2 linked regions of the Arabidopsis thaliana genome follow. The protein of the gene in region 1 interacts with the protein of each later gene in a pairwise test. Each region holds a gene or a part of one and is shown in the gene's direction. Other genes may lie near its edges.

What was found. The genes of interacting proteins can lie anywhere in the genome.
Region 2: the proteins of ETC2 (region 1) and GRF1 interact in a two-hybrid assay, tested with the Arabidopsis thaliana proteins (one large-scale study listed by BioGRID).

What each region holds. Positions count from the first base shown.
Region 1 is NC_003071.7:12,960,315-12,963,785, reverse strand, and holds ETC2 (Homeodomain-like superfamily protein), read left to right. Parts: upstream 1-1,623; 5' UTR 1,624-1,870; coding exon 1,871-1,955; intron 1,956-2,058; coding exon 2,059-2,146; intron 2,147-2,683; coding exon 2,684-2,849; 3' UTR 2,850-2,939; downstream 2,940-3,471. Other genes in the region: KIS (tubulin folding cofactor A (KIESEL)), read right to left, coding at 3,234-3,335. UniProt on the Arabidopsis thaliana protein: MYB-type transcription factor involved in epidermal cell fate specification. Acts as a negative regulator of trichome development, by mediating lateral inhibition.
Region 2 is NC_003071.7:9,726,894-9,731,856, forward strand, and holds GRF1 (growth-regulating factor 1), read left to right. Parts: upstream 1-1,586; 5' UTR 1,587-1,947; coding exon 1,948-2,275; intron 2,276-2,438; coding exon 2,439-2,651; intron 2,652-2,896; coding exon 2,897-3,269; intron 3,270-3,569; coding exon 3,570-4,248; 3' UTR 4,249-4,408; downstream 4,409-4,963. UniProt on the Arabidopsis thaliana protein: Transcription activator that plays a role in the regulation of cell expansion in leaf and cotyledons tissues.

The sequences.
Region 1 (3,471 bases):
ACATATCATATACATTCAATTTCATGCACATGTTCGTATGCACTATTGTTCGTAACCACTTAGCTATCTCAACCATCCATCATTTCACTATCTTAACCATCGAGCCCTCAGATATAATGCTTGGCATCTCTCCATCTCTTAGTCATCTTGACCCTCAAACTTATCTGATTCTCAAGATAGTGAGAGCTCAGGACTCATAATATAGGAGTTTTAGATTTTGCTCACCATATTGGGCCATTAAGCCCTGTTTCCTTTTTTAGTCCAATCAGATCCTATAATTCCAGTGTATACCAAGCTTCCTGATCTTTAAACACTTTTAGGCAAATATAATTTCTTGTCCTTTCTTACTTAGAACCATTCTTCACATGAGAACCATCATTTGTGTATATATATTAATAACTTTCAAAACCTTAATAATGATCACGACATAAAATCTTTATAATGAGAGCGGGTCATTACAGGTGAACTCCTTTGTCCGTCATATCAGCCGTCTTAGAAGCTCGTATGTGCCCAATACTCTCAGGACCAGCCCTGAGCTCGTATGCATTAATTACTGATCTGGTTTTAAAATTTGTATATATACGTACATAGCCATATGGGATACTTCAAATGTATGATTTTGTCTCGACAGCTTTTACAAGTTTAGTCGAAGTGACCAGACAACAGCTGCAATCCGAAAGCATGTTTCAATGAAGTCGTTCTAGTCCATGACTGAAAATTTGTTATACTGAATGTTGTCGATAACTTTCCTTTTGTTAACGAATGCTTGTCGATAAATTTATATATATCCAGTATTATGATCACATAATGATAAATTAGAGGAATTTCATATTTTTGAATTGGTCTTAGCTAATACGTACCACGTAGGATCAATTTTCTCCTAACCTACTTCTTTAATATATAGTGGGTAAAATCATAAATGGTTCATTCTGATTTCACGCTGAGAAAATGATATGCTCATTATATAAGTACCGATTTCTCTAAGACAACTTTCAATCTGTCAGGAAAAGAAATTGATACGTCCGTTTCTTACAGTTACTGCATTTATTATCACTGAGACGATAATTGAGTTCTGTAGATGCATAAATAGGAATTATCTGTAGGGCATGCATATGTAAAATTAGACACACACAAAAAAATCTAAAGAGAAAAAAGCACAAGAAAACAAAAGTTTTGTTGGATTTTGCTAGTATTATTTACGACCCACAAATCTATATCACAACACGAAATTAACGGTTTATGGACTTTTTTTGTCCAATTTTCACGAAGTCGAAAATTTCGGGGAAAAAATTTCACCTAATGTTATTGGAGAACTGTAAAATAAAATTATAGATTATGTACATCCACATTCCACAGCCATCTCCGTCCGTAAAAATTTCTAAAATATAAAAAGAAAAACTGTGATTTTAAATTAGAACTTGTAGGATTACGTGTTCATAATATTTATTGAGAAGTGTATTTGCATGTGATGTTTTTCACTCGATTTTAATACGTTACTAGGCAAAAAAATAAAACTAGCACGCCATTTTAGTGACTGTTAAAATGTTCTGTTATAGGTCAGAAACAAAATCTGATCAAAATTTATTGTGAGCATTATGAACTTTTTGGAATAGTAAAAAACAAATCGAACGTATCACGAAATTATGTTTTGACGTATTCGATCGGGATATATAAAAACAAAAATGTGAATTATAAATTTAGGAATATATACGTAGAAATTCCAATAAAAAATAAATCACCTATCTCTCTCTCTCTCTTTTTATATAACTATTTTTTTCCCTCACATCTTTTCTATATCTTGCATTCTCCAAACTCTACATTTTCAGTTTCTCTGTAAATTTATCTAATATTCTTCTATTTTCCAGTAGTTATGGATAATACCAACCGTCTTCGTCTTCGTCGCGGTCCCAGTCTTAGGCAAACTAAGTTCACTCGATCCCGATATGACTCTGAAGGTCTCTCTTCAATTCATTACTCTACACTCATCCTCCTAACTCGTCAGCGTTAAATTATCTTCTCATTTAATTTTTGTTTGGATAAAACGAAACAAAAATGCAGAAGTGAGTAGCATCGAATGGGAGTTTATCAGTATGACCGAACAAGAAGAAGATCTCATCTCTCGAATGTACAGACTTGTCGGTAATAGGTAACAAATTCTCTTCTTCTGTCATGTCCGATTCAACATATTTTAAAAACAACTAGTATTTTATAAAATTAAAAAAAAAAAAAAAAAAACTAGTATTTTATAATTTAAAAAAAATTCACATGGCGAGAGTAACAAATCAAAGCTGATAAAGTGTTATGTTATGGTAAACATGATTCTAGAGTAGTTTAGACTTTCGAACGTGTTTCGAGAAAAATGACATGCCAATATTTAAGCAATGACATGAGTATTTTACTTGTATAATTTCAAAAAAAGTTTTATGTTGTTGATAAACTGATAAAATGTATAATTAACAGAAACTAAAATTTCTTCTTTTCTTAAAGTGTGATGATTTTAAAAACAGTGAAAGGATTGAATAATATATTGGCTCTTGAATATTATTGTCTTTATATATATACATTTTAAATTTCATTTCTGCATTATATATGTTGACTCCTGAATTTTGATAAATGTTTTTTCAGAATTTTGTGCTCGTCTATAATTCAAAAACACATTATATGCTTGAATATTGATTGTCAGGTGGGATTTAATAGCAGGAAGAGTCGTAGGAAGAAAGGCAAATGAGATTGAGAGATACTGGATTATGAGAAACTCTGACTATTTTTCTCACAAACGACGACGTCTTAATAATTCTCCCTTTTTTTCTACTTCTCCTCTTAATCTCCAAGAAAATCTAAAATTGTAAAGAAATCAAAATAAAAGCTTTCAATCATAAAAGTAGAACAAATCTTGAATGTCTTCTCATCATATAAATGGTTCAGAAATTGTTGAATCTCTTCGCAAAACAAATTAGAATAAGATCACCTTTTCTAAATCCGTGCTCTTAATCTTCACTTAGTTTACAATCATGGTTGTCAAAGTTATATCAATTATCAATCGTTAAGTTGCAGCTTACAACACATTATAGCAAGTGTGCCATTTCAAAGATATTGAATGAAAGAACAATCACCAAAATGTTAAAGAAAGATATTTTTAGTGTATACAGTCGACAAGCAACCTTAGATATAAAGATTCTTACAGATGATTAACCATTCTCAGAATACAGATTTAACACTCATCGCTGGCTAAATCAGGCATCTTCAGTGGGAAACTGCTTCTCCACATCCGCGACTGTCTTCTTTGCATCTTCGATCTCTGGACCTTCCTTCTCATCCGTCTCTTCCAATTCCGCCTGCAAATTCAGTTTTCATTAGAGACAAAAGACAGAGTACGAATTCACAGTTTCCTCTGTGTCCTTATTCATCATTTTTCCTCAAAGAGAGACTAAGATGGTTTCATGCAGGGGATTAATCCAATCGCTATAGATA
Region 2 (4,963 bases), 3.2 Mb from region 1:
AAAACTTGCAGTTTATACCTTTAAGGTTTTGAATTCTTATAATAAAACGTTTAGTTGTCAATATTGCTACTTTTAACCTTTAAATGGTTATTGTGTTCAGGGTTCCACAAAATTAACTGACAAATTGATTATGTTAACAAAAGATATTCATTTTTGTTATAAATATTGATATGACTCTAATAATTATTTTTCTTTTAGTAAACTTTTAATATCTATTAAATTTTATATTTATGACTAATAAGATATTTGATAAAAAAAAATCATAAGATATTTTATAAATCAACAAAAATATAAAAACATTTTTGTTTTGGGTAATAATTATATTTTAAACTGTTAATAAAAATTCCATTACTAATAAAAAAATATTCTAATATAAGTTAACAGTATTTTTTGTTTTTACGTTGTCAACTTAACGTAGTAAATATTTCTATTGTTTAATTCCAAACCATTAGCTATTAGCTTAAAGGCAAGTGTTTTTTTTCTTCTTCTGTTTGTCTTAGAAAGAACTAGTATGGTTTGGGTTCATATGAGGTGGGTATCAGGTTATCACGTGCATGGTTTTAGTATAGTTTGGATCCAGCTCCCATCCTAGACTTCTAGGCACCTTTAATATTTGATTACGACGAAAAGGCTTATGTGAATCGAAAAGCCCAACTTCTTAATTTCAAAGCAAATTAAAAAAAAAAAAATCATTTTAACCTTTTTGGAAAATAGAAAGGTAAGGTGAATTTGAATTTCTGAACATTTGATACGAATGCAAAACTCAAGATGCACATTTTTCAAAGTAATGCCCCTAGAATTGTTTGCAAAATCTGCTGTCTAAAATTTTTTTGCTAGGATCGAACCGATTTTCGATTGGGATAGACACGAATTATAAATCATATTCTAATATCATATTAGATTATAGACTTCCGATTCAAAACTTATTGGCAAAAAATGAACTGACTCATATAATTTATATAACCATTAAAATCTTATCTAATTTCTGATTTAAGGTTTCAAATACAAATTATTCATAACCTAATTGATATGAGTTTCACTAGCGATGAATATGATGTACTTATGTACTTATGTTACATAAGGGATAAGGCCATTTGAAAAAAAAAAGTTGTAATAAAACTTAAACCCAAGAGATAGGATTGAAAAACATAAATGGCCCATGTAACTATAATCAGCTGGGGTACATTGGAGAACACCATTAGACAGTCCAAATACAATTGGGAACCACGTGAATCTGATAGATATTTGATACTCAACTCAATACTATATTTATTATTTCAATACGACAATCTCATTCTCTAACTTCTTTCATACTAAAATCTCACTTAAAGTATACCCCATCTTTCCCTTTGCAACGTTTGGTAAAAATGCATACCATAACAAATTTTAGAGCAAAAAGCAAAAAGCAAATGAAAATTCCTTTCTTAGGGTTTGAAGTTGAAACTAGAGAGACATGTCTCACGTGGTGTCCACATGTCTTTTATCTTAAAAAGTTCATTGTTTGCTTCCTCTATAATTATTTTTCTCATATCACAAAAGTAACCACAAAATTATTAAAATCTTAAATAATACATAAATCAAAATAAAATCATACGTAGAGCATCTGATTATAGTTTTCATTTCTTTGTAGTAACATGTCCGAGATCTTGATTGTGTTTTCGGTACCATTCTTTGTCTCCACCCAAAGCTATATCATATCTCTCACTCCCACAATTATTACTTTTTGTTATTATTAAATAATAAATATCCTTTCTCCAAAATAATAAAAATAATATCTAGAGTATAAAATAAAATAAAAAAACTTAGCCTCGTTCTTCTCCCTCTGTCTCTCTCTCTCTCTCGGTTCTCTTCTTCACTGAGCTCAAAGCGATTACCTCCCATGGGAAAAATCTCTGAAGTGATTATTTAGCACTACTTTTTCTTTGTCTCCTTCTGAATCCATTTTTTATGGATCTTGGAGTTCGTGTTTCTGGTCATGAAACCGTTTCTTCTCCGGGTCAAACTGAACTCGGATCTGGTTTCAGTAACAAGCAAGAAAGATCCGGTTTCGATGGTGAAGATTGCTGGAGAAGTTCAAAGCTCTCACGAACATCAACTGATGGATTCTCTTCTTCCCCTGCCTCTGCTAAAACGCTGTCGTTTCATCAAGGCATCCCTTTACTGAGATCTACCACTATTAATGATCCTCGTAAAGGACAAGAACACATGCTTAGCTTCTCTTCTGCTTCAGGCAAATCAGATGTCTCACCTTATCTTCAGTACTGTAGAAACTCAGGTCTGAACTGTAAAAACAACTAAAGTACTCTGCTTTTTTTTTTTACTTTCTTGAAAATCAGTATATGGCTTTTGCTTAGAGTTAGATTACAGAAATGGGTTTTGATTAGAGTTTGATTTAGTGAAGTCTTGATTTTGGAATATTGGTTTTGTTGTGGTGTCAGGATATGGTTTAGGAGGAATGATGAACACAAGCAACATGCATGGAAACTTGTTGACAGGAGTAAAAGGACCTTTTTCATTGACTCAGTGGGCAGAGCTAGAGCAACAGGCGTTGATCTATAAGTATATCACAGCCAATGTCCCTGTTCCATCTAGTTTACTTCTCTCTCTCAAGAAATCTTTTTTCCCTTATGGTTCCTTGCCTCCTAATTCTTGTAAGTTCTCTTCCTTATCTTTTGTTTTCAAAGATTTGAGATTATTGATCAATAGTTTTGATTCCTTTTATCTCCAATACATTAGCCAAGAATTAACTTTATACTATCTTTTTTAGTGTATAGTCCTTTGGAACATTGAATCTTGTATGGATTGGTGGTGGGTTTATTAAAGATTCTTGCTTTGTTAGGGGAATGGTGTTTTTATGAGATCTTGAGAGATTTTTTTGTTTTGTGTGATTATGAAGTTGGATGGGGCTCTTTTCATCTGGGCTTTTCCGGTGGTAACATGGATCCCGAGCCAGGGAGATGTCGCCGGACAGATGGAAAGAAATGGCGGTGCTCGAGGGACGCTGTTCCCGATCAAAAGTACTGTGAACGACATATTAACAGAGGCCGCCATCGTTCAAGAAAGCCTGTGGAAGGCCAAAATGGCCACAATACTAATGCTGCCGCCGCTGCTTCTGCTGCTGCCGCTTCTACCGCTGCTGCTGTGTCCAAAGCGGCAGCGGGGACTTCAGCTGTTGCGATGCGTGGATCAGATAATAACAATAGCCTTGCCGCTGCTGTTGGAACACAACATCATACCAATAATCAATCTACAGATTCTTTGGCTAACAGGTGAAAACGTTTAACATCTCTTGCCTTTTTGATATAACTTATCTGCATATTCTTAAGTTTTTAATGTTCATACCTTTTTCAACTTTTAAATACTTCTTTGCCCTATGAGTAAGTAGTAGACCCACCAATTCATTATTACTACATCTTTTATGATTGTGACCACTCCTTATTAATATGAGGCTTAGGATTCCATATATTTGGATTTTTTTGCTTTAATGAACTGTTTACTCTCCTTTTCTTGATGATTCAATGATGTAACAAATTAACAAGAAATCTTAATGGTTGTTTGTTGCATTGCAGAGTTCAAAATTCTCGAGGGGCTTCGGTTTTTCCTGCCACGATGAACTTACAGTCGAAGGAAACTCATCCGAAACAAAGCAATAATCCCTTTGAATTCGGACTCATCTCTTCTGATTCGTTACTTAATCCGTCGCATAAACAAGCCTCGTATGCAACCTCTTCCAAAGGCTTTGGATCGTATCTTGACTTCGGCAACCAAGCCAAGCACGCGGGGAATCACAACAATGTCGATTCTTGGCCCGAAGAGCTGAAATCGGATTGGACTCAGCTCTCAATGTCAATCCCTATGGCTCCATCTTCCCCTGTTCAAGATAAACTTGCACTCTCACCTTTAAGGTTATCGCGTGAGTTTGACCCCGCGATCCACATGGGATTAGGCGTCAACACCGAGTTTCTTGACCCCGGGAAAAAGACGAATAACTGGATACCAATCTCCTGGGGTAATAACAACTCCATGGGAGGTCCACTCGGCGAGGTACTAAACAGCACGACCAATAGTCCCAAGTTTGGTTCCTCTCCAACAGGCGTCTTGCAAAAGTCGACATTTGGTTCTCTTTCTAACAGCAGCTCGGCAAGCAGCACCATCATTGGCGATAACAACAATAAGAACGGTGATGGAAAAGATCCGCTTGGCCCGACCACGCTGATGAATACTTCTGCTACTGCTCCTTCTCTGTGAAACTGAAAAAAAAAAACTAAGGACAATTGCGAAAACAAAAACACTCTGTTTTTCTCTGTTTCTGGTTTTTCTTACTTGATGCATTGTTGTTTCTGTTGCTGTTTTCTTTCTATATAAAGCAAGAAGAAACTAAAGGAGAGATGTGTGTTTTTTTCTTCATAATCTTTGTTCTTTGTTTTTCCTCTTATTTGTTCTCAATCATCAAATTCTTGATTTTATTGTTCCTCTTATAGCCGTTGAGCTAAATCCCTGGTTTTAAGAAGTCTATGTACACAATGTTCTAAAACTGAAAAATATACAAATTTTTACTTTTTTCACTAACCACAAAATTAAAACCAAGTGTTAGTGTCACAAAATTTGTGATCCTTGAGAGATTTTGACGAGAGGTTTCCTAGTTGCAGACAAGAGGCAACATTGTTTGTGGATTGGACATAGAACACTTCTTCAAAACAACTGTCTCCAACTTTAGTTTTTTTTTTTTTTTTTTTGGGTTCTGTTTCTCCACTTTTGGGTCCCTGTAACTACTTTTTGCTCTTCTCTCTCTAACCCTACCTTTCACTTATTCCTGTTTTTGTTTTTCTTCAAGAAAAAATGAAATTGATTATAAAGAGTGGAGGAGGACCAATCTCTCAATGTATGGATGGTCCATAACGTTTTTAATTTGGATTTTTTTGTGTAATTTTTGGAGATTTTATTCTAACACGTGGCATGTGTG